Diceros bicornis minor: one gene and its partners. The protein of the gene in region 1 interacts with the protein of each later gene in a pairwise test. Links are inferred from orthologs where the notes say so. Each region holds a gene or a part of one and is shown on either strand. Other genes may lie near its edges.

What was found.
Region 2: the proteins of REL (region 1) and EXOSC5 interact in binary tests that used the Homo sapiens proteins (3 or more experiments, as listed by UniProt). The two-hybrid records come from large-scale screens. The link is inferred for Diceros bicornis minor from reciprocal best matches to the Homo sapiens genes REL and EXOSC5.
Region 3: the proteins of REL (region 1) and PLEKHN1 interact in binary tests that used the Homo sapiens proteins (3 or more experiments, as listed by UniProt). The two-hybrid records come from large-scale screens. The link is inferred for Diceros bicornis minor from reciprocal best matches to the Homo sapiens genes REL and PLEKHN1.
Region 4: the proteins of REL (region 1) and TSSK3 interact in binary tests that used the Homo sapiens proteins (3 or more experiments, as listed by UniProt). The two-hybrid records come from large-scale screens. The link is inferred for Diceros bicornis minor from reciprocal best matches to the Homo sapiens genes REL and TSSK3.

What each region holds. Positions count from the first base shown.
Region 1 is NC_080751.1:26,337,956-26,345,561, forward strand, and holds the start of REL (proto-oncogene c-Rel), read right to left. Parts: upstream 3,007-7,606; 5' UTR 2,799-3,006; coding exon 2,789-2,798; intron 1-2,788. UniProt on the Homo sapiens protein: Proto-oncogene that may play a role in differentiation and lymphopoiesis.
Region 2 is NC_080773.1:15,381,792-15,389,796, reverse strand, and holds the start of EXOSC5 (exosome complex component RRP46), read left to right. Parts: upstream 1-4,994; coding exon 4,995-5,126; intron 5,127-5,252; coding exon 5,253-5,493; intron 5,494-8,005. Other genes in the region: BCKDHA (2-oxoisovalerate dehydrogenase subunit alpha, mitochondrial), read right to left, coding at 4,744-4,914. UniProt on the Homo sapiens protein: Non-catalytic component of the RNA exosome complex which has 3'->5' exoribonuclease activity and participates in a multitude of cellular RNA processing and degradation events.
Region 3 is NC_080752.1:21,946,978-21,954,892, forward strand, and holds the start of PLEKHN1 (pleckstrin homology domain-containing family N member 1), read left to right. Parts: upstream 1-4,914; 5' UTR 4,915-5,757; coding exon 5,758-5,840; intron 5,841-5,938; coding exon 5,939-6,038; intron 6,039-7,915. Other genes in the region: KLHL17 (kelch-like protein 17), read left to right, coding at 241-500, 586-707, 869-1,090, 1,533-1,649, 1,865-2,078, 2,371-2,515, 2,600-2,767, 3,151-3,239 and 3 more. UniProt on the Homo sapiens protein: Controls the stability of the leptin mRNA harboring an AU-rich element (ARE) in its 3' UTR, in cooperation with the RNA stabilizer ELAVL1.
Region 4 is NC_080752.1:47,105,566-47,112,347, forward strand, and holds TSSK3 (testis-specific serine/threonine-protein kinase 3), read left to right. Parts: upstream 1-4,225; coding exon 4,226-4,370; intron 4,371-5,102; coding exon 5,103-5,767; 3' UTR 5,768-6,266; downstream 6,267-6,782. Other genes in the region: protein FAM229A, read right to left, coding at 2,872-2,974, 3,244-3,390, 3,472-3,608. UniProt on the Homo sapiens protein: Serine/threonine protein kinase required for spermatid development and male fertility.

The DNA of each region.
Region 1 (7,606 bases):
ACTGTCATCGCTACATTTTCATGTGTTGCATTTCTGAAACAGCCTTCATGTTTATGTGCGTAGTCTTTTACTTAAAAGAAGTCATTTGCTTTAGCTATCAATTCCAGCTTCCAGCTTTATCATTAAAGATTGTCGCATCATACTTACATTAATTTTTTTCCCCTTACTCAAGAGAAATAGTTCTCTTGAAATTCACACTACAGACAGAGTTGGTAAGTAGTGCGGTTTACAAAAACAATTTCTTCGTGTACTTCCTATTATGTGACATAGCAGAACTATACTAAAGAAAACTGAATAAAAATAAATTACCTAAATTTTAAAACATATTTTACCAAAGACAGTACTATTTATTAGTAAATAAACCTATGTGCACACAAGAACAGGTTGCACTTTCTACTGGAGCAATGAGAAGCTTTAAATTCAGATATAAAATAGATAATTTAACTTATATTAAACAGAATAGAATTATATACATATACAAAAGTCATGATTGCCTAACTATGCATACCCTAGATCGGACTGGGAACATTTTTCTTAAAAATGCCTATTCTAATTAATCATGTCAAAAGACTGCAATCGGGATATAATTAAAAAAAAAAAAAAGCAATAAAGACAGCTTAATAGAACTCGAGCTGTGAAATCCTAAATAATTAATCTGATAATTTACCTGAACAAAATGTAGAATCATATATATACCAAAGTCCCAGTTACTCATGGTACTTATATAATTTTGCTTATGAGATTATGATCTGTTACTTTTTGTTATACAGATCACATATTCAACTACACATACCTATTTACATATGACATCCGGTGAAAAATGAAGAAATGGTCTTAAATGCTTGGTAATCAATAAAAATACTTTCTGAGGTTTTAATACTACCTTACTACAAACAGAATCCAAACTAGACAATGATTAACTAAGCAAATTTTTTTTCTGTTACTCGTTTGGTTAAATTACTGTTTCAAAACAGGATGGGAATTTATAATTTAGCGAATCTTTTTCTCTGAGGTCTTTACAAGTGATTAACGAAAGTACATCCAGGCTCCCTTTTAAAAATTTTGCTTAGCAGTTTTCAAATAAATGAATTACAATTTAAATAACTTCTTATAGTTTAAATAGCCCCATTTGAATGCAACTCCAGAAAAGGCAAACTTTTAAAAAAAGATAATTACCCTACAACTTTCCATTCCTTTAAATTTTTCCCCTTCAATTCAGGGAATACATTTTCAAAACAGCACAAAATATAATGTCATCAAACAAGTTTAAATTGTATCACATTTTTAAATGATATGGGTCTTACAATACTCTCTATATAAATGGTTAATTCTTTTCTCTGTCTTCTGAAAGAATTAGAAGTACTGCATTCATATTAACAAAGTTTGGTTAAACTGCCAGCAGGCTGACCTTTATTTATAATGCTCGCCATTCTTTACTTCTTTCATACAAAATCTCTTTCCGGTAACCAATAAATTAACCAAATATTTCAAATCATCTTTGCACTTTTCATCTAAATATGCTTTGAATTTATGAATTTACAAGATTATCTGAAAGTTTGGGGTCACTGAAGTGGGTAAAGAGAAAGTTGAAATATTTTAGACTACACTTGTATTCTCACATGAAAACCACAGACAAACTGAAATCAAATGTCATGTGAACCACCCCAATTTCCTTTTCAGCCTACAGCAGTAGCTACAGCATTGTTCTGCTCAAGCCTTTAAAAAAGTCCTTTATGCTTTCTACTTCCTCTTCTCTGCTAGACATCAGCCTTCTGAGGGTCACTGAACCAGGGAGCTGGGAGGATGCGGGTCAAGCATAAACAAGCCCCCCTCTTCGGCCTCCCAGTATAGTGTTAAGGTATACTTTTAGGCCTGCCTGCCTTTGCTCACGCTGCTGCCTCTGCCGGGAAAGCGCCCTCATGAACCTAGCCAGAATCCTGTCAAGGTCCATCTCCAACGCAGTCTACTTGATTTACTTCCCTTAGGTTACAAGTGGACCTAAACCTTCGCTGCATACGATATGAGACTCCCTCCCCTGACCTCTAGCTGTTTCTTGGTTAACTGGTTTACCCCCAAAACAAGAGATCCACGCACTTATTAACTGAAAATAAATATTTACATAAGTGATAGAAAGTTGTTTTCATTCCGACTCATATTTTAAAGCACGAGTACTCTAAAAATCCTCTTTTCCCCTTCTTTCCAACAAGGGGGAAAAACAAAAACAAAAATCGACTTCTGCTCCGTAAACTAGAAAGTATGCACTTTACAGTAAAAATTATCCACTTCGATCAAGCAACATTTCCACTTAAGACCTGTTAAAATACCCCTGGTGACTTTTAAAGCCGCACCACATTTTGCACAACTCGCAGCACAACGGCGATCACCCTTTGGCACTTGATGAAATTAAACCAAAAAAGGTAGAGCTCTCCTGAGGTCTGAATGTTCCTCATTCCTGTTCTAAAACCATTTCAATATAAATCACTTTTTAAATACGAGAATTCTTTGCCCTCCTTTATTTAGATTCTTATTACTTCCCTAATCCTAAAACCAAGTCGTTGGAAATTTCTAAGGTCCCAGCTATCATCATGGCATCAAATTACAGAGCGTGACTTTGATTTCGCACGCAAACCCTGAAGCAGGTAATTTTTTAAAAGGCCGACAATTTGCCAGAAGAGGCGATTTTAAAGACCGAATGTGCCACAACCAAAACTGCGCCCGGAAACTCTGGGCAGCAAGACCCTCGGACTAGCTCCTTCCCCCCGGGCCGGGTCGGCGCCGGGACACTCACCCGAGGCCATGGCTCCGCTCCCCGCGCCGCCCCGCTCCAAGCGTCGGATCGCACGCAGGCTGCCGTAGTCAGTGACCCGCCGCTCAGTCGGGCGGCCGAGGGACCTCTGCCGGCGGGACCCCCGTCCCCCTGACCACCCCCGGGGCCTCCTCCTCCTTCCCGGCCTCCTCTGGGTTTGCGGCTCACACCTTCCCCACCCCCTTAATTCTCGCGCTCCGGGTCACCCGGCGCCGCCGGTCCAGGCTGCGGAGCCAGGGACAGGGGGCGGAGCGCGGCGACAGCCGAGCACCGGAGAGGCCGACAGGCGGGCAGCCTGGCGGGAGGGGGATTTCCCGCGGCTGACGTCGGCCCCTCACCGCCGCCTTCCCGGGGGCGGGGGGCGGGGCGTCCTGGCGGCGGGCGCGCGCGCGTCCGTCCACGGCTGCCCGCGCTCCGCCCCGCCCCTGCCCCGCCCCCGCGGCCACTCCCGGCAGTGCGGCTGGCTGGGGACCCGGGCCGGGGAGCGGGAGCGCGGGATCTTCGGGAGCGCAGGGAACGCTGGGACCCGGGAGGTGACGGTCCCGAGCGTGCGGAAGCTGCCGGCTCCTGAGAAATCCCCCTCCTCCGGGTTGTTCTTCGGCGCGTGGTTTAAAGTTCAGGAGCAGGTGGGAGGGTGCGGTGACGTCGAGAGGGCCGGCCGCCCGGGAGCACTTGGGGGCGGGCCGGGCGGCGAAGTAGGGCTGGCCCTCCCGGCTGGGGGGTTCGACTGCCTGGGGTTTTCGATGGGTGGTTCCCCCTCTTCCCGATTTCGCACATGCAAATCGCCGCCCCCGCGCCGGCAGGCGGCTCGGCGCAGGCGTCCCGGTGCGCCCTCGCGGGGAAGTGCGGAAGCGGCTGTCGTCTGTATTCTTTTGTAATTCGTGTATTTGCATACGGGGACCCCCGCAGTCTGACTTTCCCCCTTTATGTCTAAAATGCGAGGGCTTTGTTAACTTGACGTACTTTACCTACTAAAACTTTTTAAACTCTTACGGTCCGCGCTGTGAGTTCGTTGTCTCATTACGCGGTGTGCTCACAATTAGTGAACTGGACAGTGTCTTGGCATTTGACGAGGATACCGACAAGGAAGGGGGGACTGGAACGAACGTTTAGTGTGTTGCAGGAATCTGGTGTAACTTGGTTTCCTTCATGTGCTAAGCACCTCCCATGTGTCAGTTTACCTCATTTATAAAGTAGTATTATCCTCATTTTATAGATGAGGTAATCGGGGTTCAGAGAAGTTAAGTAATACTTCGGAGAAGTTAAGTCAGTCCCTCAGAATGCTAGTAAAAAGAAAAGCACAGTTTAAACCCAGAAGCTGTCTGACTCCAAAGCTCTATGTCCTTTCCGCTATCCCTTACTGCCTAAAATAAGTCTGAAGGGGGAATGGGGAATGTCAGCCTGCCATACAGGTGCCAAGCTGGAGGACCCAGTTGGGGAAATAATTAAAAATAAAATCTACCAACCCCAAAATATCCTCTCCACAAAATGTAGAAAACTAGAAAAGAATGAAACAGCTTAATTATTGAATAAGCACACTGTGATGCGCTAAGGAGATTACAAAAGACAAAAAAAAAAAAATCTCACTTTATATAGCCATGGGGAGACAATCCATTACATACCTGTTGTCTTTATCCAAAGGAAAAATAATAGGAAGTTACATTTTTGGGGCCAAAAGCCGAGGTTTAAACTCCCACAGAGGAAGAGAGATGGGGCACCATCCTCCTTAATGTTCACATTTCAAAGAGATGGCTCCAAGGACCCCAGAAAGACCTTAGGGGAATGCAAAACTGGCAAGAGGCGTATTTAGGTTTTTAAAAGCTGTACAAACATTTAAGAGAGACAGAGAAATCATTTACAAATTAGGTCTTTCTAAAGGAATTGTTCAGTGAAAACGGAGAGGGTAATGTTCTCTGTCCTTTTTGGCACCAGGGAAATTTTTTAATTTAAGTTTTTAGGCTTTTATTTACCCTTACAACCCCAAATGTCAGAGCTGTAAGGGCAAACAGCACAAATGTTTAAGAATCCATTAGGAGAGTGAGGGACAAATAGGAATGGAAAATATTTTGTATGTGTTTGTTTATATTCCACCTCCAGAAACTGATTGGTTATTTAGGTGCTTCTTTAACTTAAGAGGGGATAATGTTTGTTTACTGAAAAGTTCTGGACCAAACAGAATCTGTCCCAGTTGCAGGACCCCAGACCAGTCCCAAAAGCACTCCAATCTATGAAATCACAAGCTGCACCTTATGAGATTTAGTAACACTACAGAATTTTGAACTAATTAAGTTTTATCTTTTATTTTTCAAAGACTCTGACTTATTTAAATCTCCTCGCTAAGAGGATGGCATGTTTATATTGATTTCCAGGGCTATTTTTATTTGTCACATGATTAAGCTGTGGATTTATATTATCTCACTTTTTTAAAGGTTTTTTTTTTGTAAAACCCTTTCACTATTTTTTGAAGTAGCTGAACCCTTTTTTCAAAGATCCAGTCCACATCTGAAAAGTGAAAATCTTTTACTTGTGCAGGATAAACTTAATTAGAAAAAAAGGAAGATTACAAGACAAACTGATGGATGGGCTAAAAACAACAACAAACAGTGATTTTGGTTTTCTTTGGGACTTATGCTGGGGAAAAATTTATTACTGTAAAGATAATAGGCAGCTAGTTGTTGGGGATTATAGAGAAGAATAGCACATGGTGTTTTTTCCCCAAGAGCTTACAGTTGTTGGTAACCGGTCATTCAGTTCAACAAATATCTACTCTGTGCCAGGTGCTCTTTAGGAGGTGGCACGTACACTAATAAACAAGACAAAATTTCTCCCTTCATGCAGCTTTGTCCCACGTGAAGACATCAAGTATGTTAGCAAATAAGATCATTTAAATTACTATTATTAAAATATTTGTTTCTTTATTGCTATAAAGAAAATAAAGCAATAGGATAGAAAGTCTGAGCAACCAGGTACAACGGAAGGCTGGTGAAGAAAGAGGTTTGAGAGGGAAAGATCAAGAGTTGTGTTTTGGACATGTTAAGTTACAGATGCAGAATGTTTAGACATTCCACTAAACAGTTGAATATGCAGAACTAAAGCTAAGGGGAGAGATCAGGGCTAGAAATAAAGATTTGGGAGTCAGCAGCATTTCATTTAAGATAATACCACCTAAAGAAGGAGTGCAGATACAGAAAAAAAAATTTAGAGAGACTGAGGATCCGCCAAGTCTTAGAGAAGTGGTGGAGAAGAAGGAGCTGCCAGTGAAGTAGGAGGAAAATGAAGAGACTGTGGTGTCCCAGAGAGTGTTTCAAAAAGAGTGAAAGTGGTCAGCTGTGTTAAATGTTGCTGAGAGATTGAAAAAGATGAGAATAAAGAAATGACCTTGGATTTGGCAAGATAAAGGTCATTAATGACCTTGATAAGAGCCATGTCAGTGGAATGGTGGGGATAAAACCTGAATTGGAGGAGGTTGAGAAGAGAATGATGGAAACAATGAGTATAGACAACTCTTTGAAGAGTGTTAAAGGAAACAGAAATGAGGCGATAGCTGGAGCGGTTGTGGAGTTGTGTTAGGCTAAGGGCTATCACTGACAGCTGCAGTCTCAACAGGTTAACATAATTAAAGTCTACTTACCATTTGAGTCACAGTCCAATGTGAATTGAATAACTTTCTTCCAGGAGTAACTCAGGGACCCTGGTGCCTTCTATCTTGTAGCAGCAACATGTGGCTTTCAAAGTCACCTTGGGAAAGGAAAAAGAGTAGAAGATCATGAATGGGAGATTTTTATAGGCCAGGCCTGAAAGAGGAATACATTACTTCTGATCACAGTCGACTTTCCATATGGCCTCCACAGGGGGCTGAGAAATATAATTTAAGAAATGTAATTTAGCTGTGTGCCCAGAAAGAAGAGAAGAAAATAGATATCAGTGAGCCCTAGCAGTCTCAGACACTGAAGTTTTGTTTTGTTTATAGAGGGTGATATTAAGGCATATTTGTATAAAGATGAAACTGACTCAGTAGTGAAGGAGAAATTGATAATGATAGAGAGGAAGGGGGTAATGGGTGGGGAAGGGAGGAAGGATGAAATCTAGAGCACAGGTTATGTGGTTGGCCGTAGATTGGAATGGGGGAACCGCCTCTATGGTAGCAAGAAGGAAGGCAGAGCACGTGCAGAGAACCTTTGTTTCTTGGGACTGGTTTGGTTATCAAATGTCCCACCATGTCTGGTTTTCAGTGTGTGGGATATCATACACCTTGCATTTGGATAGCTCTTTGGAGCCTATGGGGGACCACATAGGACCACGGTGATTGATTTTATTCTGAAATCTTGTTATAACTACATCTATTCAGCTTGATGACAGGTGTCTTTTTTATTCTTTCTAGAACAACAAAAAGTCTCTTATAGAGCAATTTCACTTTCTTTCTCTCACTCTCACTCTTTCATATTCTTCTAGGATCATAGACCTGGAACACGTCTATTTGCTAATCAGATTTGTTTCTTGAAGGGTGTAACTTCTTGATCGCTGCATCATTAAAAAAAAAAAAGATTTTATGTGTTTAAGGCATGTTCTTTTAGTATCAAGAGCAGTGGTTCTCCACCTTATCAGATCAGTGTCCACTGTTTTATAACTTATATTTGTAATATCCCCTTTACTACCCTGAAGTGAAATTCATAGATATATACCTTATGTATATATTTTCAAACAAAAATAATGCTCTAAGAGCAATATCAAGCGTAAATAAAATGAAAGCCATTTGTAAAAATATAATATTGACTTCAATATGTAAACACTTGGCATGAA
Region 2 (8,005 bases), on another chromosome or scaffold:
CCGCATGCACAGTTGCACTGAGTGCTCAGAGCACGTCTGTGAGGCAGGCATTCTTTACTACTGCCTTTGAGCAGATAACGAAACTGAGGTTCAGGGAGGTACAGTAACCTGCACCAGGCCACAGAGCTAAAAATAAACAACTAATTAAGTCAGGACTGGGCTTCAAACCTGGGCAGGGCTGACACCCAGACCCCAAACTCACAATCCTAACCCCAAGTGCCACTGCTGGTCAGGTTTCCACACATCTACTTCTTGACTTCCCACCGTCGCCAGTTGGCTCTGAGCTCAGTAATCGCGGCTTCACTTCCCATAGGAGCTAAAGAAGAATGACTGAGGTTTGCCATGAGCTGGGTCTCACGTGTGTGTGCTCAAGTGTGTTCCCCTCCCTCCCACCTTTCATTGCAGTGAAGTAGCCGTCCAAGGTTCCAGCGGGGGAGCGGGAACATGGATGCATTTATGTGCATTTGTGGTTGTGAAGAAATAAAGGAAATTACAGCCCCAACAGCAGGGCAGGCCCAGGCCTGACACCATCACAAGCAGATTCCCCTCCGCCTGCGAGGGAAGCAGTCAAACTCGCAGACCAGGCTTCTCCCTGCAGTGTGCTCACATGGCCGGACCTTTCCATCTACGGGGAGGATCCGTTTGTCCCTGTCTGTCTCTCACACACCTCACAAGCTCCAGGAAGACAGAGATCACGCCCAGGTCACTTTACAGAGCGGGCACTCAGCAGGCCATTACTGAACGAACAGATGAATGAGCGGTTAAGTTCAAGGCTTTGGAGTCCGACTGACCTGGGTTCCAATTTTTTATCTCACTGCATGGCCCTCTGCAAAACACTTTGCCTCTCTGAATGTCCTCATCTGCAAAAAGGCTGCAGAGGGCTGTGGCGAAAAGTTCCTAAGAAAAGGCACACACAGAGTTCAGCATAGACATGGGACATATTATATGCCCAAAAGCTGGTAGAAGGGGAAAAAACAAAATCAAGGAAGGTTTGAAAACGGGAATAAGAAAAATGCCTGGCACCTCAGAAGGAAGAGGGGAAAAGAGGATTGGGGAGAAGGACTGAATGCCCCTCACACTGGATTGTGATTCCAGACTGTGGCCCCAGCAGACACTCTAGAGGGAGACTGAGGCCCAGAGGAGACACAGGCAGAACAGGACGAGGGCTGTGGTCTGGGAAGGGGCTCTAGGAGGGTAGGTCAGGGGATGACATGGGTCAGGACAGGGTCACAGGGCTCAGAACCAACCAGGGTGTCAGGGCAGGACTCTGCCTGTGGAGGCTGCAGAGTTACCGTCAGGGCGCCTTGGCACACCCCACATACAAGTTGGGCCTTGGCTGTACACCTTCTTTCCTGGGCCTGTAGAGATGCCGGTGGTACCCAGCCCAGGATTACCGTGCTGATTCAAGGAGCTAGGGCCCTGAGGAAATGTCCCATTAAGGCAGTGGGTGGTAAAAGGCCTGCAGAGAAAGGATGTGACTCCACCCATCTCTTCTTGTTTTTGGTGGGAGGGTGAGTTTGTCCCACTGGCCAGCGACTTACAATGGCAGAAGCTGTGCAGATTTACACAAAGCATGAAGCCACATCCTCTCCCACTACGCAGGAAACAGGCCTGCTCTGGGTGGTCTGGTAGGCCCAGCAGGTAGTAGTGTGGTCCCTGGTGGAGCCACTCCCCCGGGCGCCAAGGTCAAGGGCAAGGACTCCGAGCAGACCGCACCTCCTGGCTGTGTAACTAAAGCAGCCTGAGCCTCAGTTTCCTTGTGTGTAAACTGAGGGTGATGGGAGTACTTATCTCATTAGGGGTCACGAGGATTATGAGTCGATGTATATAGAGTGCTCAGCCCAGTGCGTGGCACATAAATGCTTGATAAATATAAGTAGCTAACAAGTGTATTTGACAATTATTGTTGTCAAATAGGTAGATAGTGAATATTTGCTCCAAATCAGGCCCTGAACTGAGGGCTGGAGACGACAGGGAGGGACGGATAACAAACACTGAACACACAAGTTACAATTAAGAGAGGCGATCTCAGAGGAAGCAGGATAGTTCAGTAGTTAACCACAGGGCAGGGTAGGATGAAGGACTCTAGTGCTAAACTGCCTATGTTTGAATCCCGGCTCTGTCCCTTTCCAGTTATGTCACCTTGGGCAGGAGACAGTCTCCCTGAACTTGCATCCCCTGGTGGAAAAAATCAGAATTTCTACTTCACAGGCTTTTGGTGAGGCAGGTATAAAGCGCCTGCTGCAGCTCTAGGAGGAACCTTTCACTAGCCAGCATCAGGCGGAGGATGAGGAGAAGCTTCTCAGAGACGGCGGAGTTAAGGCAAGGCCCCACTTGCTTCTAGGGATGATTGCTGAGAAACCCACTCAGGACTCCTTAACAATCGAGTTTTCTTCCTCCTCTTCTCCCTGAGCACTAAAACATCTGCTAGCAACTAGACGGGGGAGGGAGGCAGAAATCAGGCAAATGCCTCCAGGGCATCAGGGTGTTCAGCAAAGGGCATGGGGAAAAGAGGGGCAAGCAGGCAGGGACGCAGTAAGGCAGCCCATCCTTCCTCCCAACCCAGCTTGCCCCAACAACCCAATCTGTCCCACTACACGACAGCCTTCTCACCTTCCCCCAAGACACTATCTCTTGGCTTCACTTTGACTGGCTAACAATGCACCATCCAATATGGCAGCCACAAGCCACCTGCTATTTAAATTTAAACTCACTAAAATTAAATGAAACAAAAACTTCAGTTCCTCAGTGGTACTAGCCACATTTCGAGTGCTCAGTAGCTACCGTACTGGACCATCATTGCAAAAAGTCCTATTGGACAGCCCTGGCCTAAAATCTTCTTTGATCAAATGCTACTACATCTTTCCTCCGCTCAAAAAAAGTATGCCTCTTTTTTAATCTTAGAAAGAATAAGTGGGAGAAATAAAAGTGGAGAAGAAAAAGCAGGGACTTTAATAAATTAAAAATATATAGGTGGCCTAGTGCTTAAGTTCAGCATGCTCCCCTTCGGCAGCCTAGATTCAGTTCCTGGGCGTGAACCTACACCACTCTGTTAGCAGCCATGCTGGGCTGGCGGCCCACATACTAAAAAGTAGAAGAAGATTGGCATGGATGTTGGCTCAGGGTGCATCTTCATCAGCAAAGAAATATATATATAAGCAAAAAGTAAGGACTCTGAAACACCTCCTCCTCTCCCCCACCTTCACCCCAAAAAAATGAAGGAGGGAGGCAAGAAGGAAGGGCAGCAGGGAGACCAGCCTGAAAGGAAGCAGATTTAATCAGCTATAAATGACCTTTCCATACTCCTGCCCCAGTCCGGTCCCGCCCCACTGACCCAGCCAATGGGCTCCTGGGACTGACATCAGCTGTGGAGAATCTGACTGCTCCAAAAAAAAGGGACAGAGAACAACCAAAAGGCAGGAGAATGCTCCACCCCCATCCTGCCCCAGCAACCTGCTGCAAGTTAACACCGGCACTAGATCCTCCCACATATTACTCCTGGCCCATCCTCTTCACCTTCCTGCCCTGTCTCTCTCCCTACCTAGGGCTTCTTCCCAGACTCCATCTTCCCTTCCTTATAAACTGGGGATCAGAGTGTCAGACCCAACCCCACAAGATCTTGACATATTTCCCTCCAGGGCCCTCACCAATCCAGGCCCTCCCAAAGTCACCTCCTTTCTTCACATCTTCAAGGTCGGTTTCTGTCCCTTCCCTCCATCCTCACTTTCAACAGCGGTCAACATTCCTATATCCTTTATCATATATCAGATCCAGTTCTTAGCACTTTATTTAATTTTCACAACAACCCTATGAGGTGGCCACTGTTACCATTTTACAGAGAGAGAAAATTAGGTGCAAAAAGCAGTCCCTTGCCCAAGGCTACACAGCTGGAAAGTGGCCCATTACATATATGAACCCACATGGTCTAGCTTCACAACCCACCTTTTGAACCACTTCTCTCTTACCTGTAAAATTTTAGTTCATAGCTCTCCTGCAGCCCACTGCCTCTCTCCCTCTAAATAAGAGCTTCCAACTAGATTTGTGCTAGGGGAGCTTGCCGATAGCAGCATCAACCTAAAGGGAGTCTCACCCTTTTGACAAGAAACGAGGCATTTTTTAAGTGTTGCTAAGAAATGCGGGCAAAGTCTGGACCTCTCTCCTTTCATTAATTCAACAAATATTTACTGATCTTCTCTTCTGTAGAGTGACCAAAACAGACAAGACCCCTGTCCTGGCATTTATCAGAGAACACAGGATCAAACGATTTTTTTACGCAATTCATTTTAAAATCAGAATTGTAGCCAAGGAGCAAAGAAATACAGGGCACTATAAAAGCCCGTGACGGGGGACCTGGTCTCTCTTTTATCCTCTTTGAAGAGGGGATTTTTACCGAGAAGAAAGTCTCCCCTTTCACTCTCCAACCCCTGCGCGGAAAAGTCTCGTCTTCCTCCCAAGTCCCTCCAAGCGGCCTCCCCGGGGGTTGGGGGGCAACCAAGGAGTAAGTCCCCTTCCTCTCTCCAAGTTGTCTCCCTCCCTCAGGGCCCACAAAGGAGCTGCCTGCTTTTTCTCTCCTGAGGAAGTGGAAGTTCTCTTCCTGAGTGTCCTCTCCGAGTGGTTCTCCCAGCCCTTGTCCCTTCTGTGACAGCCCTGCCTTCCCTCCCTGCAGGGACCCCATACTCTCAAGATAGCGTTGGAATCCATAGTCCTCCTTGTGGAAAACTCCCCAGTGCCCCAGGTACTCACAGATCTAGCCAGCCCCCGAACCCCAGTCCGCCGCAGGAGCAAGAGGCCAGCCTGACCCAAGCCTCGACTTGACCCCCACACACTCGCCGCGGCAGCCGCCACCGCCATCTTGGCTAACAACCCTCGGTGACCCGCCCCTCTCCTCGGAGAGACCGGGGGCTGCCCCTTCATAAATCTGACTCAAATGCCAGTACCACCCTGCCAGCACACCACCTACTACCAGTCCTGCGGTCGCTAGGACACATAGATGGATGGATAAAACAATCTGGCTTCCCAAAATCTACTCTGATCGCCTCATTGTAGCTGTTTCCGTAACAGGCAAACAGGCAAAGAAGAGGACAACCTCACCAGTGCCTCAGGGCTTTAGGGCCCTGGGGCCTCGGGTAGGAGGAGCCCATGCCAAGGCCCGCCCCCTCTTCTCTACTGTCCAATGGTTTTCCTGAAGTTGAGAGGCGGGGTGGGCGGGGTCAGGTTGTTGGTAAACGTGGAGCCACGTGCGGGCGCCAAAGCTCGGGCTCCTGGATCGGCGCGTGCGCACTGAATACGCAGCCAGTACGCAAGCGCTAGCTTTTGGACGGAAGCGACCGTCCGCGCTGCACGTGGGATCCGGGGCGATGCAGACTCACGCCAAGATCCGTAAGGAGTCCGGAACAGAATCCGACCCTCGAGGCCCCGGCTGCAGCCTCCGGCACTTTGCCTGCGAACAGAACCTGCTGTCCCGGCCGGATGGCTCTGCCTCTTTCCTGCAAGGTAAGAACTTAACCCAGTAAATACTGCCCGGGCCGTGTTCCCTCAAGTCATAATTGTTTTGGGGCGCGGCTGCAGTGTACCATGCAAAGGAGTGCCCTCCTCCTCCTATACTAGCTGGTAAATGTCCCTCCTGGACTGGCACACAACTTCATGCCTGGCTGGATACTACCAGGTACGCCAGGGTACATATATCTCTTCCGACTAGAAGGAAGAAGATATTTCCATTCCGGTAAATAACTCTTCAGAATGAGAGCGGGGCAGACCTTTCCATAAGAATGAATACTTTAGAATAGGGAAAATTTCACCGGAGTAAATATCCCCTTTGACTAGATTCCTTCGTCTCCCACACGCACACCCTGAGTCCACACATCCCAGGCTGAGGCAAACCTGTCCAGTTGCATAAATACCCGGTAGACTGACCAGTCACCACTACCGGCTTAATTACTTCCCAGACCGTGGCAGATCTTTTACCCCAGTAAATACTTTTCAGATTGAGGGTAATGTCCCCACCCCACCAATTGGGTAAATATCCCTTTGACTAGGATACACATCTCTCCATGTGAGTAAATATCGCTAGATTGGGGCAGGTCTTACTTATTGAGTAAGTATCCCCTTCTTGTAGCTAAATACCCCTCAAACTAGACTCCACTCCCTGACTGAGATAAATATTGCCCTGGAGATAAGCCTAAGGATAACCCCCATGGATGCTTCAGTCCCCTCACTAGGGCATTACCTTCTACCCAGTACAAAGCTCGTCTCATTCATTTCTTCACTGAACATGTACATATTTGTGCTAAGTACTGTTCTAGGCAGGGAGAATACATGATAAAAAATTTTTTTTTAATCCCTGACCTAATGGAGTTTACATTGTAGTCAAGAAGACAGACAATAACTAAGTAAAATGCCATGGGGAAAAATTAGGAGGGAAGGGGAATAGAGTGTGCCAGAGAGGGTTGCAATCTTGCACAGGATGGTCAGGAGAGGCCGCAATGAGATGGTAATATTTGAATAAAGACCTAAAGGTAACGGAGCAAACCCTGAAGATATCAGGAGGGAAAGCACACCAAAGCATGGGGAACAGCAAGGGCAAAGGCCCTGAGGCAAGAACTTGCCTGGTATGTTTGAGGAAGTCAGGAGACCACCGTGGCTAGAGCAGTGGGAGGAGGTTTTGGAGACAGGTAAGGAGGCTTGTACATCACAGAAGGCCTAGTGAATGCCATGGGAGCCATGTGACATGGTCTGAGTATATTTTAATAGAATCTCTCTGGCTGCGGTGTTGACTGTAGATGGTATGGAGGAAAGGGGGAGATGATGGTGGCTCAGACCAGAGTGGAAGCACTGGACGTGGTAAGATTCTGGGGTTATTTTGAAGGTAAAACCAACAAAATTTGCAGGTGGTTTGGTTTTGGGGTATGAGAAGAAAGGGATAACGCTAAGGTTTTTCCCCAGATCAGCTGTGCTGGGGGAAGGTGAGTTCAGTTTGGAACATTAAGTTTGCAGTGCCTAGTAGATATCACAGTGGCAATGCGGACTGGGCAGTTGGACATACAAGTCTGGAATTCAGAAGAAAGACCCAATCTGGACATGTAATTCGGAATCCTCTGGCTTTAGATAGTATTTCAGGCTATTGATTGGATGAAATCACCAAGAAAATGAGTATAGATAGAAAAGAGAAGAGGTTGCAGGACTAAACCCTGGGTCTTCTAACATGTGAGGAGCTAGCAAGGTAGGAGGAAAACCGAGAGAGGGTGGTAACTTGGGGCCCAGAGAATGTGTTTGAGATGTAAGGGCCGACCAACTGCATCGTCAGTCCTACTGAGAGGTTGCATCACGTGAGGATGGAATAGACCCATGGGTTGACAATTTGGAGGTCACTGGTGACGCCATCAAGAGCTGCTCCAGTGGAGTGGTGGGGTCGAAGAAGGGAAGAAGAGAGCCAGTGGAGACAGCTCTTCCAGAGCTTTGCTGTAAGATGATCATATAGGTGGGGCAGGAGTTGAAGATGGATGTGGGTCCAAAGAGGAAAGAATTGCTCAAGAACGTGAGAGGGGAGGGTGGTCCTATGCTCAGGTGGACCACAGACAGCTCGTCTGGAGTAACAGGAATGAAGCCCCCAGCAGGATCTAGTTCTGCTTGGGTAATTTCCCCCTTTAGGGCAGATTCTCCAGGAGCCATGAGAATTCCTCAGTTGTGTGGCAGCTCCTCCTTCCAAGCCCCAGGAAAAACAGCTCCGACCCAGGCCCTCCCCCAGGCTTAGCTCTCTTGCTAAATTCAGATGCCTGGAGTTTCTTAGAACTTAAGAAATAAGGAGAAAGGTAGCCCCTTGCATGTTGTAAAACCGCAAAGCCCCAGGACCCTGGAGCAAGAGGAGTCCTTGCAGATCCTCAAGAGTATGTCCCTTGTGTGCTTCTGGCCTCAGGACCTCTGGTGAGCTTGTTAAAAATGCAGCACCCCAGAACCCACCCCACGCCTACCAAGGCTCACCCTCCACATTTTTCACTGCTTGGTGATT
Region 3 (7,915 bases), on another chromosome or scaffold:
CAGTTGCTTGTTGCAGGAGTCTTGTTGACCCCGGGGAGGCTCCCTGGAGCAAAGGAAGCAGAGTAGGGTGGGGCCCAGGCGGCAGGGGAGGTGGTGCTGGAGTGCTGGTCCTTGATGGAAGCCAGGTCTGGGCCGCTAGGGGAGGGGTGGCCTCCCGGGTGCCCTGACTCTGCCCGAGGTCTGGGTTGGGTGAGCAGCTCCCTGCACAGTGCACCCTGACTTGGCTCTGCCCATCTGCAGCCCTGAGGCAGAGCGTGCACGGCCGCGGCAGGCCCGGCCCACGGCCCCCATGGAGGGTGCAATGCAGCTGCTGAGCCGCGAGGGCCACACTGTGTCCCACAACTCCAAGCGGCACTACCACGATGCCTTCGTGGCCATGAGCCGCATGCGGCAGCGAGGCCTCCTGTGTGACATCGTCTTGCACGTGGCCGCCAAGGAGATCCGGGCACACAAGGTGGTGCTGGCCTCCTGCAGCCCCTACTTCCATGCCATGTTCACAAGCAAGTACCACCCCCTCCCGTCTGGTACTGGGGGCGCTCTGTGATCTTCCAGAGCGGGCACCGGCCTGACCCACTGTCCCCACAGATGAGATGAGCGAGAGTCGCCAGACACACGTGACACTGCATGACATCGACCCTCAGGCGTTGGACCAGTTGGTGCAGTTTGCGTACACAGCTGAGATCGTGGTGGGCGAAGGCAACGTGCAGGTGAGCCGCCTCATCCCTCAGTCCGCTCCCCGCTGGGCCTCAAGCCTCAGCTCTCCCTGCGTCCCCAGCACCCCCCTGTGTTTCTCTCCATCCCCTCAGTTCTTCACATCTCATTTCTCTGTCCCTGCTCCCCCGGCCCTCTTTCCCATATCAACCCACAGACTCTGCTCCCAGCCGCTAGCCTCTTGCAGCTGAACGGCGTCCGTGACGCCTGCTGCAAGTTCCTGCTGAGTCAGCTTGATCCCTCCAACTGTCTGGGCATCCGAGGCTTCGCCGACACGCACTCATGCAGTGACCTGCTCAAGGCGGCACACAGGTACGTTCTGCAGCACTTCGTGGATGTGGCCAAGACTGAGGAATTCATGCTGCTGCCGCTGAAACAGGTAATGCCAGCTAGAGTATAGCCTGGACCCTGACCCAGCCCTTGACCCCCAGCCCCCTTCCCCTGGGCTCTTAAGACTTGGCCCTTTGCTCCTCGGTTCTTATTCCCAGCCTCTGACCCATGTTCCAGCCCTACCATCCATTCTCTGGGCTCCTCCGCCCTTGCCCCATCTTTTGACTCCACCCAAGCCTTCACCTTTGATTCCTGACCCCATTCTGTTCTGAGTACACCTCTGCCTACCGTCCTCAGTTTCTCGTTCCACATGCCCAGGGCTACTCTGGACTAAATCCCTAGGAACCAGATCTGTGGCTCCTAACCCTGCTTGGTCCCTCCTCATAGGAACAGTGGGCCCCTCGTTGGACTCTCCCTCCCAGGCACCTTTAGGGCTCCATGGGCCCCCAAGGTCCTCCCCAAATCTCAGGTCTCAGGGTCCCCACCCGCAGGTGCTGGAACTGGTCTCTAGCGACAGCCTGAACGTGCCTTCAGAAGAGGACGTCTACCGTGCCGTCCTGAGCTGGGTCAAGCATGACGTGGACGCTCGGCGGCAGCATGTCCCTCGGGTGAGGCCAGGCCCTGGGTGGTCCCATGGTGTCCAGGAGGGGATGCAGTGGCCAAGGGCCTAGGTGTGTCTGGGCTCCTCTGTCCAGAGACTCCACTGGGTGGTATAGGCATGTGCCTAAAGAAAGGTTCAGGGTGTCTGAGGGTGGTCTCGGTGCCGGGGCCAAGTGTGCCCACACGTCCCACCTGCCACCTGACTGTGGCACCCCTACCCCAGCTGATGAAGTGTGTGCGCCTGCCCCTGCTGAGCCGGGACTTCCTGCTGGGCCACGTGGACGCCGAGAGCCTGGTGAGGCACCACCCTGACTGCAAGGACCTGCTCATCGAGGCCCTCAAGTTCCACCTGCTGCCCGAGCAGAGGGGCGTGCTGGGCACTAGCCGCACACGGCCCCGGCGCTGTGAGGGTGCTGGCCCCGTGCTCTTCGCTGTGGGTATGCCCACTTCTCCCGTCCCCTCCTGTCCAGCCCCCACGTCTCTGCCCTGCGTCTTCTCTCCGTGAGCCTAGCACAAGCTCCTCCACCCTGTGCTGGTCACGTCCTGCACCCACCCCACTCCTGCTCCTCTGTTCCTCCACGGAGGACCCTGTGTAGTGTGACCTACTCCCTAGTCCCTGTCCCCAACCGCTCTTGGAGTCCCCACACCTTCGACCTCGAGCTGTGCCAGAGCCCCCAGCCCATTGCCTCCCTGGGTCCGTTCTCCTGCCCTTCACCTTCTCTTGTCTAGGTGGTGGGAGCCTATTCGCCATCCACGGGGACTGTGAAGCATATGACACACGCAGTGACCGCTGGCACGTAGTGGCCTCCATGTCCACACGCCGGGCCCGAGTGGGCGTCGCAGCCGTCGGGAACCGGCTGTACGCTGTGGGCGGGTAAGTGTGGAGGACGCTCTCAGGGCAGGGGCTCGGCATATGCTCTCCAGGCCACTCCTGACCGGCAGCGGACCTCTCTCCTAGTTACGACGGGACTTCAGACCTGGCCACCGTAGAGTCGTACGACCCTGTCACCAACACTTGGCAGCCAGAGGTGTCCATGGGCACGAGGCGCAGCTGCCTGGGCGTGGCTGCCCTGCACGGGCTCCTGTATGCAGCTGGTGGCTACGATGGGGCCTCTTGCCTCAACAGGTAGTGGCTGGGGTCAGGGTTGGGTGGCCTTTTGGGGTTGGCTCCGCAGTAGGTACGGCTCCATCAGGACTGCAGAGGTCACGCTTGAGGGGAGCAAAGGGGGATTCCCCCTGACTGGAGTCACCAGGGTCCCCAGGCCTCCTCATATGTGCCAGCCCAGCTGCCCCGTTTTCCTCTCTGGGGTCCTTCCCACCAGTCCAGGGCTGGGCCCAGGTGGACAGTGCCTACCCAGCAGGCCCTGCTTCCTGTTCCAGGGAGACTCAGGTCAGTCTCCATGACTACCCAGCACAGGATTCTAGTCCTGCCATGGGGAGGACAGGTCCAGGGGCCAGGACAACCTTTCTGCCACTGCTCAAGGTCAGCGGCGGTCCTGATGCCCACAGTGCCGAGCGCTATGACCCCCTGATGGGAGCATGGACGTCTGTTGCCGCCATGAGTACCCGGAGACGATACGTGCGCGTGGCCATGCTCGGTGGGTGACAGGGCCTGCTTCATGTAGTGCCCACCCTTCCTGCCACCTGAGACCCTGTGCCAACAGGTGCACCATGGGTTTGTTGACTCTCTGCAGATGGGAACCTGTACGCCGTGGGTGGTTACGACAGCTCCTCACACCTGGCCACCGTGGAGAAGTATGAACCCCAGGTGCGAAATATGCCCCTGTCACGGTTATTCCCCAGAGCTGTTTGAGGTCATCACTTTGGCCACCCACGTCCCCTGAGGGTCAGCCTTTTACATCCCACCCCCAAGCACTCTGCCCTGGAGTAGGGGTCTGCACCATGGAGGTGGAGGGAGGTTGTGATGGGGCTGCCCCCATCCCATCCCGTCGACTGCAGGTGAACGCATGGACGCCCGTGGCCTCCATGCTGAGCCGGCGCAGTTCTGCGGGTGTGGCAGTGCTGGAGGGGGCCCTCTACGTGGCCGGTGGCAATGATGGCACCAGCTGCCTCAACTCGGTGGAGAGATACAGCCCCAAGGCCGGTGCCTGGGAGAGTGTGGCGCCCATGAACATCCGAAGGTGCACCAGCCCCACCTCGCTGGCCAGTCGTGTCCCCCTCGTGGTGTTCCCCTCCACACACTGACATACGTGCCCCACAGCCTCACCACTGTGGGGTGTGTCCACCCCTCCATCCCCTGCCCCCTGCCCACTACTCCCGGGCTCCCCCAGCTCCATGCCCCAACCCAACTCCAGAGATTCCTCCCATGGCCTGGGGGCCCCGCCCTGCCACTCAAGCCCACCACCCCCCTGCCCCCAGGAGCACGCACGACCTGGTGGCCATGGACGGCTGGCTGTACGCCGTGGGGGGCAACGACGGCAGCTCCAGTCTCAACTCCATTGAGAAGTACAACCCGAGGACCAACAAGTGGGTGGCCGCGTCCTGCATGTTCACGCGGCGCAGCAGCGTGGGCGTGGCGGTGCTTGAGCTGCTCAACTTCCCGCCACCCTCCTCGCCCACGCTGTCCGTGTCGTCCACCAGCCTCTGACCCGTGGCGCGGCCTGCACAGAGGCCAGCCCACAGCCTTCCACATGCCTTAAGCCCCCCGGGGCAGTCCCCCCGGGGGCGTCCTGCGCCGTCTGTCGCGTCTCTGCGTCAAGGCCACCGTTTGTGTTCATTCCTCAGAGTTAGTTTCTGTGTGTGCAGTTTATTTATTTACTCATTTATTTATTCATTATTTATTGACCGACGAGCAGCGCTGCAGCTGCCAGTTTATATGTTTATTCAAAGTGTCCTGTGTCTCTGGGACCAAGCTGCCCTCCAGGGTGTCCTCCCACCCCAACGGGGGCACAGGGAGCGATGTGGGTGGACATTTGGGCCAACTCCGACTCTGCAGGCCTGGAGGGACCAAGGAGCAGATGCAGAGCAGCCAGGGTTGGTGGGGGGCTTTCTGAGCGGAGGCAGACCCCCCAGCCTGCACTTTGCATACCGCCCTTTCCTTGCCCAGCCAGGCACGCTCCCGGGGAGGGCACAAATTGGGCTTCCGTCCTGTGAGGGTGGTGTCTTTTCTGGATTCTGCACTGAGCTGGGCACACATGTGCCCCAGACTACACAGAGCAATATGAGCTGACTTGAACAATAAACATGTGTTTTGGGCTCTTTGGGCCTGAGGCTGAGTGTCCATCTCCGCCTTTCAGGGTGCTGTCTTTGTTGATCGGGAGGGCCCCGGGGTGGGTCTGCAGCTGGGCTGAGGCGCTGCATTGGCATCTGGGGGTTTTGAGGCAGCACCGTGATGTCCAGGTGGGGCAGGGCTGGTGATGTCCTGGATGAGCGCCCACCGTGAGCATGAGCCTGGTCCTGAGAGGCTCCTGTGTCCCCTGGCTCACCTCAGGCTCTGGGGAGGGTGGCGTGCATGGCATTCTTCCCATTTCACCGTGACAGCCTGGGTGTACCTGGGAGGGTTGTGGTCTCCTTCCTGATTCTGGGTAAGCCTCGGGGACCCTGACGTTGGCTCAGGGTGAGGATTGGGCCGGGGCGGGAAAGGAGCCTGGGAGAGGGTTCTGGCCCCTTCCCTGATGTTGCAAACTCCCGCTTCTGAGGCTGAGAGCAAGGACACACCCCCTTACAGTCACTGCTGACTCAGAGACGGCATTTAGGTGGAAACAGGATGTGCGCTCACGCAGGTGAGGCCTGGAAGGTGGTCCCTGGACTCAGGGAGCTCCAGCCCCAGGCACCCCCAGGCCGAGTGCAGGCAGGCCACGCACTCCCAGGCTAGGTGTTCAAGGCCCTTCCCGTACAGACTGGCAGCTGAGTTGGGGGCTCTTGACTGGGCTGAGAGGCAGGCTGGACTGCACGTGTGAAAGACTCAGGAGAGCACTGAACGGCTCTGCTCAGGTAGGGGCCAGGTTCCTCCCAGAAAGTCTCCACCCTTCCCCAGGTCTTGGATACAGGGCGAGATTTCCCGGAGCCCCGCCCCAGGAGGTGGGGGCAGGAGGCTTAGGACAGAGGAACCCAGACGTCGACCTGCTGTGCTCGGGGCAGCAGTCACCGCCACCCATGGGAAACAGCCACTGCGTCCCTCAGGCGCCTCGGAGGCTCCGGGCCTCCCTCTCCAGAAAGCCCTCGCTGAAGGGAAATAGGTGAGGGGGGCAGGAGCACGGCCTCGGCCTCTGGGTCACAGGGTCGCCCTCAACCTGCCTTGGGGGCCAGGCTGTGAGCCCCCCTCCCTTATCCCCAGAGAGGATGGTGCGAGGAAGCTGGCTGGTCTGTTTGGCACCGAGGCGGGTCCCGACGGGGACACCACTGCCGACAAGATCTTCTACTACATCCCTGGGACGGTGAGCGGGCGGGTGGGCGTGTCCCAGCTGGAGCGAGGCCTCGAGGGGGTGCGGTGGGGGTCATCGGTATGTGACTGCGTGTGCGTGTCCTATCTTGCCTTGGCTCAGGGTCTTCCCCTGGCAGCCCAGGGGGAGTCAAACCCAGAACAAGGTGAGGAAGTAGACACTGCCCCACCCTGGGGAGCTCATCTGGCCGAAAGTCTGAGCAGAGAGTGAAACTGAGACCCGACACTGAGTCAGTGGGGTGAGCGAGCACTGGGCAGGAGCGGGCCGCGGGCGGGGCCTCCAGGAGCCTCTGCTGCACCAGAGGGGGCGCCATGGCCAGGCCATGCATTCAGAGCCATCTCTGTGGGGCCCCAGCCCTGGTGTCTGCCCACCCCCCAGGAACAGGCACGTTCAAGTTGGACCAAGCTCACGTACTTCAGTGTTGCTGCGTGGGCACCCGTGTCGTGCTGGCAGTGTAGCTGTGAACCTTCACCCCCCGTTGTCACTCTGAGGGTGAGGGGCTTCACGTGAACAGTGAGCCAGCCTCTCACCTACTCCAGGCCTCAGTTTCTGCCAGGGAGTGTCTTCTCCACATCCATCATGCCTCATCTCACAGCACCCCCGTCTCCCCTTGCCAAGGCCACGTGGCAAGGACGTGGCTCCGAGCCCATGCTAGGCCACCTCTGAGCTGAATACCACCCCACCCACCCTGCCCCCACTCCTGTGGGGCTAAGGGTTAGCTGAGGGGGAGAGACAACCAGCCCTTTCCCCAACATGGCTGCACTGGGTTGAGGTGAGGCTCTGCTATGTGCGGAGACACCAGGATGTGAGCAAAATGATCTCGCAGCTTCTTACCCCAGGAGCATCAGGGAGAGGACAGGGAAGGAGGGACGGCTGTGACTCTGTGCCAGGAGCTCCAGCCCTGCACTCCTCGGTCCTCACACCATCCCCTCGAGGCCTAGCAGCTAGTGTGGGCTTCAGAGCCCACCTTCCCAATGTGTTGCTGTCAGGCTGGGAAGGGCTGGCGGGCCTGTCCCTTCTCCTGGCCTCTGAGGTCCCAGGGCTCCCTGTGAGCAAACGCTGTCTTCAGAAACCGTGCTGCCTCAGAGACGTGGACAGGGCACTTCCGTCCAGGGCCTGGCCTGGCCGGGATGAGGTCCTTCATGTGTCTGCATCCCAGACCTCAAGTCCCTCTGTCCAGGCCCAGGACACATCATGTGACCCTGGTGGAGTTCCATGAGGCATGGTGGTCCTGGTGGTCCTCTCTTGCCAGGACATGGTGGCTGGAGAGGGGACCAGGCATGTTGAACTTTGAGAGGGAGGGGTCAGGGGAGGAGCCAGTTTTCATTGGGACCTGCCCTGTGGTGGGTTCTGCCCCCACACATGAGCCGGCCCTGCCTCAGCTGTGAGCGGGCTCCTCCCTGGACCCTAAGGCTGGGTCTGGGCCACAGGGCCAGCTGCATGGCCTGTCCTGCTCCGTGGCCTATTTTTCGTGGTCCCATCCCAGCGTCATTACCGGCTCTGGGTGTGGGTACCGGAGGCCCCACCCAGAGGCAGGGAGGCCGGGACGCTGTGTGTCTGTCTGTTCACATTCCTGGGCTTGCCCAAGGGGCGGCTCAGCTTGGCCAGGGCACAGCAGCCTGAGAGGCAGCCCCTGCCAGCTCCCACAGGGAGGGTGGCCCCCTCCCCAACTCAGCCCTGAGACCCTAGCCCTCAGGTCCTCAGCCCCAGGTCAGCACCTGTCTCTCTCCGACTCCAATCTGATGACCAAGCCCCTCTGTATAAAGGGTTCTCTGTGCCAGGGCTGGCCAGGTGTTTGTGAGCGCTGATCCTCCCTCCCTTCAGCAGATATCCCAGGCCTGTCCTAGGCTCTGGGGATACAGCGGTGGGCG
Region 4 (6,782 bases), on another chromosome or scaffold:
TGATGACTGGTAACACTGTCCAAGGCTCCTGATCGCCATGGAACAGAGTTCCGTGGAATCCTGACTCCTGCCACTCTCTACCCCTTTTTTGCAGGTATCTTTTTCTCCCAGCATACCCAATCTTCCAATCTTTGCATAAGCTGTCTCTGATCCCAGAATGTTTTTTCTTCAACTTCTGCTCATTATTTTCTGATGATGCTGTCAATCATCCGGCTATGCTTGCACCTCAAGGGAAGGCTTACCTATGGCTCAGCCTGGTCAATTATAGTCTCCCATCTCTCTGACAATGGTGATTGGCCCAAGGAGTGTGCACATGATTTAAGAAGGGCCAGTTATTGCCCTTCCAGGGATAGGTATACTGAGACTGGAGAAAGCAGCTCCCTTCCTGGGATTTCCAAGCTGCTGCAGCCATGTTCCCTGCCCAGAGGAGATAATCAAGAATGATGGGGCAGTCTGGTGGGGTTGAATCCTTGGTTCCAGCCCAAGGATGCCCTGGTTCCTACAGTTCTTCCTTTAATCACTAGCTTATGTCCTTCCCAGCCACTTCAAACAATCAATTCCTTTTTTGCTTAAGCTAACTTCAGTTGCTCGCAGTGGAGAGAACTTATCAATACAGAGGCCAATAATTTTTTCTCTCTGAAATTACAATGGCCTCCTAAGGAGGGTGAGTACTGTTTACGGGGGGGGGGGGGGGGGGGAAGGCCCTTTTTCTGCAGAGCAGCAGCATAGGTTGCTAGGCTGAGTAGGGCTTACATGGAGTATGGTGGGAATGGGAACAGCTGGATTACTCTACTTAATAGAGAGAGGAACCGAGAGTCCCTGGGGGGTGGAGTAGGGCTCTGCAGGAGGTCAGGGTGGAGGAGGAGAGGAGTGAAGGAGAGAGAGGCCAGTTCTATGGCCTGAAGCCAGGGATTATCCTGGTGAAGGGGAAAGATAGGCATGGAGGGGCTTTCAAGAGCCAGGGTATTTAAAGGACCAGAGGACTGAATGGTCAAGTCTAAAGTCCTCACTTTGAAGTAGACTTTTTTTTGGCAAACGTCCTCTCCTTCAATAAGCCAATAAGTCCCAATAACGTTTGGGACTGCCTGGGAGGGTATTTTGTGTGGAAGTTGAGAAAGGTTGCCCTTCAGCGTGACCATGGGATTCTGAAGTGCTCTGGGGAGGGCTTGGACTTCTACCCCATGTGGATTAGGGGAGGGGTGTTGAGTCAATTGTATTTAGATCTCAGGGGACAGGAGACTGAACCTGACGTTTGGGTTACATATATTATTTCCAGTGTTAAAATAGTACAGGTTCATGTTAGAATGGCTATAATCACCAAGACAAAAAACAACAAATGTTGGAGAGGTTGTGGAGAAAAGGGAACCCTCATACACTGCTGGTGGGAATGCAAACTGGTGTAGCCTCTATGGAAAACAGTATGGAGATTTCTCAAAAAATTAAAAATAGAAATACCATACGATGCAGCTATCCCACTACTGGGTATTTAGCCAAAGAACTTGAAATCAACAATTCAAAGAGACTTTTGCTCCCCTATGTTCACTGCAGCATTATTCACTATAGCCAAGAAGTGGAAGCAACCCAAGTGTCCACTGACTGATGAATGGATAAAGAAGATGTGTTATATATATACAATGGAATACTACTCAGCCATAAAAAAAGACAAAATCATCCCATGTGCAACAACATGGATGGACCTGGAGAGTATTATGTTATGTGAAATAAGCCAGACAGAGAAAGACCAACACCATACGATTTCACTCATATGTGGAAGATAAACTAACACACAGAGAGAATAGATTAGTGGTTACCAGAGGGGAAGGGGCTTGGTGGGTGGGCATAAGGGGTAAAGGGGCACATATATATGGTGATGACAAATAATAATATACAACTGAAATTTCACAATGTTATAAACTATTATGACCTCAATAAAATAAAAAAAGGACAGCAAAAAAATATATAATAATGCAGGTTCTTCAAAGCAAAATTAGAAAGTGGGAAAATACTCGTTCAGCTTAAATACTGCACTTCCAGGCAGCCTTCGTGTCATGGCCCCTCTTATGGATGGCTTTTAGAGCATTAAGTCTGAGGACACTGAGGAATGTGCTAGCATCACCCATCATCTGGGGGACCTGGGACAAGTCTTTCAAGCCTCAGTTCCCTCACCTGTAAAATAGGAATAAGAAATCAAAGTTTTTCAAACAACTTCTTCCTCAATCTTCTTTCTAGGAATAACCAAGACTCAAGATGGACAGGGCAGCTCCTAACCCCTCCAACAAAGCCAGAGGTGCCCAGGGTAACAAACAGCAGGTAGCAAAAGCTAATTCCATCCTGGGAGAATTAAGTGAGCCTGGTGTGGGTGGCCATTCTCTCTACTCTAAGTTGTCTATCCATCCCTCTCCAGTGGTGAGCTGCTCTGGGCTCCCTGAGTCCAGCACAGTAATGCGAATTCCATTCAAGAACCAAGGAGAGGGATGGGAAGAAGGATGAGGGAGGGCCCAAGCTGAAAGGTAGTCCTGAAAGAGGTCAGGACCAGCAACAAATGGGGGGAGGGGTTGGCCCCCAGCAAGAAGAAAGGGGACCCGGAAAAGCATGCCCCTAGGGCTGGGTCCAAAGGAGGAGACAGCCCAAGGGAAGGTGCTATTGGATGGGGCGGAGCAGTAGGTCGGCCCGGTCCGACGGGATAGACATACACAGCCAGCCCGGAGTGGAAAGAACAGTTTATGCTGTGCTTTATTAAAATGTGCATCATTCTTTTATTTTAAAATGTGCATCATTGTCTCGTGCTCTGTGTGCGCGATTTCAGCGTGGTGGCCCGCGGCGGGCCTCGTTCCCGCCCGGCTCCCGCGGAGCCGCCGTGCGCAGGCGCACTCAGGTGGCGCGGGCCCGGGGGCTCCCGCCCATGGCCAGATAGACGTCGATGGGCACGTGCAGCAGCGTCAGGCAGTGGCAGCCCGGGCAGCGTCGAAGCGGCCTGGAGAGACGGGGCGCGACAGGGGACGCTGAGGCGGGGTCCCGGCCTATCTTGTCGGGGACGCTCCCGGGGAGGGCACCTGGGGTCCCCGAGGTTTGGGCGTGGATGTGGTCATCTACTGGGGGGACGGGGGTGTCTGGGGATGGGAAGTGGGACAGGGGCGGGGCCGGAAGCGCTCGGCGCGCAGCCGTCCGCCCAGCTCCCCCTCGGGACGGTGGGGAGGGCCGGGACGGCAAGAGGGCTCGCGGGGGGAGGGGCGCCGGCCTCACCTGACTGGGTTGTGCTCCGTGGTTACCGGCTCTGGGCTGTCCTGGGATTCGGGGGCGGCAGCAAGGCCAGGGGAGTCTCCGGCCTCAATGGGGAATCTCCGACCCTGCGGGGGCTCCCGGGCACTCATGTCCAGGCCCCGGGGCGCTCTGCGCGGGGAGTGGCGTTCAGGCTGCTCCCGGGCCGCCAGGCGCCCCCTCCCCGCGCCCGCGCCCTGGGTCGTTGCTCACCTGCCGGAGGCCGAGGCCGGACCCAGGCTGAAAGCAGCTGCCTGAGCCCTGGCTGCGGGAGGACGCTCCGGTCCAAGCGGAGCCGGGCAGGTGTCTGCGGCGTGTCCGGGCCCGGGCGTCGAGGGGGAGGGCTGCATTGTGACCCGGGCCGCGGCGCGCTGACCTCACAGAACCCGTTCCTCCCACTGAGGAATCCCCCAGCGCTCCCCGCCGCCCCGGCACTTAGCGCGGCCGCGAGCCAGGTGCCGGAGGGCTTTTGCCATGGCGCCTTGACACTGGGTCGCGCAGACCCCCAGCTGCCCGATGGGGGCGCAGGAGGAGACGGCAACCAGCTGCGAGGCAGCGTCCACCAAAGGGAGCTCGGCATCCTGGGCCGCGCAGACACCCGTGTGCGCCGCCCCCCCCGAAAAGCCTGCGACTCACTGCCTGGCGTGGGGGCGGGGGCGCACCAGTGACTTAACCCGCGCTGGGTTTGGTGGTGGTCGTTTGAGGGCAGGTACGGGCTCTGCCCATTTTGGCTAAGGGTCACACAGCATTTACATCACAATTGGGCCGAAGTTTTAAAATGTCCGGCCATCTCCCTTCCCACTACCCGCGGCTGCTGTGTACAGACGGAGAATGTTCTAGCGCTGGGGGCGGCTGCGGATGAAGTCCTTGGGGGGAAAAGTAGCTGGCCAAGGGCAATGGTGGAGTAGAGCTGCCTCCTGGAGGCAGCATGAGCTGAGAGGGTGATAGGAAGGAGGCGCTAGACAGCATGGAGGACTTTCTGCTCTCCAATGGGTACCAGCTGGGCAAGACCATTGGGGAAGGGACCTACTCAAAAGTCAAAGAAGCATTTTCCAAAAAACACCAAAGAAAAGTGGCAATTAAAATTATAGACAAGATGGGAGGGCCAGAAGGTGAGCTGGGGCCCCTTTGGAAGAAGGGAGGGCTGGCTGAGGTGGGTGGGTGCTTCCTCCAGTCAGAAGGCTCATTCCTTCCTCCCTTTAGTCTGGAACCAGGGAAAGCAAGAGAGATGGTGCCTCTGGGGTAGGTCAGTGGGGAACAGAGAATGCTGGGAGTCCAGGAACATCACACCCTCCAAAACCCAAAATTAAGGTGGCAGGAGGTGGAGAGTCCTCAGAGGCAGAACTTGAGCCTGCCAGGCCTCTCTTATTCCAGGAGGGGAACAGAGAGAGGCCACGGCCAGGGCTAGCAGAGGGCAGGAGTTGGTGCCAAGGCAGGTAGAGATGGGAAAGACAGGGCTCATGGAAAGAACTGTGGGTCAGGAGGCAGGGGTGGAAGGAGTTCGCTCACCTCACTGTGGGCAAATCAGGCCTAATAACTGAGATTCAATGGCTTTGTCTACAAGTCCCCAAAGCACCTTGATATCCAAGGTCTCACAGGCTGCTCACAACAGTCCCTGAGGCTGGCAGGGACTAGTTCCTTTGAATAATATATTAATGCAAAAATAATAGAGGTGAACATTCTTTGCAATGTCCAAGCAGCTAGACATTTAAGACTGTTAAAGGCAACCAAGGCACAAGACCCAGACGTGATGGGCAGACAGAAGCTGGAAGGTAGGAGACAGGAGTAAGGAGTTAGGCCCTTCCAGCCTTGATACCCCATCTCTTTTCCCCTTGTTTCCTCAGAGTTTATCCAGAGATTCCTGCCTCGGGAGCTCCAGATCGTCCGTATCCTGGACCACAAGAACATCATCCAGGTGTATGAGATGCTGGAGTCCGCCGATGGGAAAATCTACCTGGTGATGGAGCTGGCTGAGGGAGGGGATGTCTTTGACTGCGTGCTGAATGGGGGGCCACTGCCTGAGAGCCAGGCTAAGGCCCTCTTCCGTCAGATGGTCGAGGCCATCCGCTACTGCCACGGCTGTGGCGTGGCCCACCGAGACCTCAAGTGCGAGAACGCCTTGTTGCAAGGCTTCAACCTGAAGCTGACTGACTTTGGCTTCGCCAAGGTGCTGCCCAAGTCACGCCGGGAGCTGAGCCAAACCTTCTGCGGCAGCACAGCCTATGCTGCCCCTGAGGTGCTGCAGGGTATTCCCCACGATAGCAAGAAGGGTGATGTCTGGAGCATGGGTGTGGTCCTGTACGTCATGCTCTGTGCCAGCCTACCTTTTGACGACACAGACATCCCCAAGATGCTGTGGCAGCAGCAGAAGGGGGTGTCCTTCCCCACTCATCTGGGCATCTCGGCTGAATGCCAGGACCTGCTCAAGCGGCTCCTGGAACCAGACATGACTCTCCGGCCTTCCATCGAAGAAGTTAGTTGGCATCCATGGCTAGCAAGCACTTCGTAAAAGCAATGGCAAGTCCTCCCCAATAAAGTAGGGGGAGAAAGCAAACCCAAAACCCGCTTCTAAAATGGTGATATATATTTTACACTTTAAGTTTACTTATCCTAAAACTTACCTACACCCTCCCCAGCCTTACTTCTCTTTTCCTTTAAAGATCTTCATGGAACCAGAGGGCCTCGTTCAGACTTCCCTTTTATTAAGGCTGACAAGTGATTTTCATACAGGTGTTTAACTAAAGTTAATTAAAAATAGACCCCAGAATCATACACATACACGGGGAGGAGAGGAGAAAAATGACCAAGAGCAATCGGAACCACTGTTGTTGCAACTTTCTTTCCAAATAAAAGCAGAAGTGTTGGGAATGCAGAAATGGTCTTGATTCCTTGTCTTGGTGAGAGGTCTGTTGGAGGCCCTGTCCCTTCCTCATCCCAAAGGCCAAGCTGAGTCTGGGATGAGGACAAGGGACTTCCCCACGACCCAGGCTAACCCCCATCCCTCCCCCTCCCCCAGGCTCCAAGTGGGCAGCCACCCTGCACATGGCGTGCATTCTGCCTTGCCTCCAAGGGCAGCTGCCATGGGGGACAAGAACAGACCCCCAGACACCTTCCAGCTTCTGTTGAATCTCTTTAATGCTGTTAACGGCAAGTCTGGAAAAGGTTCAGGACAAAGTTCTTTTTTCTTTCTTTTTTAATTACAAAACTAACAGCTGTTAGAATCTTTTTTTTTTTTCCTTTTTTCTTTTCCCAGCTACAAAATACTCTGGGGAGATGCATTATAATTTAAAATATATAATATTGCACAAACAACCAAAAGGTTAATTAAACTAAAGAAATAATTACAAAGAGAAAAATCCCATCCCATCAAAAAAAGATTCAGCATTCTCTCCATCCCACCCCCTCATTGAAGGTTTGAAGTGGAAATGAACACCACTCTCTTGGCATCCCTGACCACCATCCCTTTAAATCATTGGTGAACACACCAGATTATGTACAAGAATCACCAGAGCAGCATCGTGAAG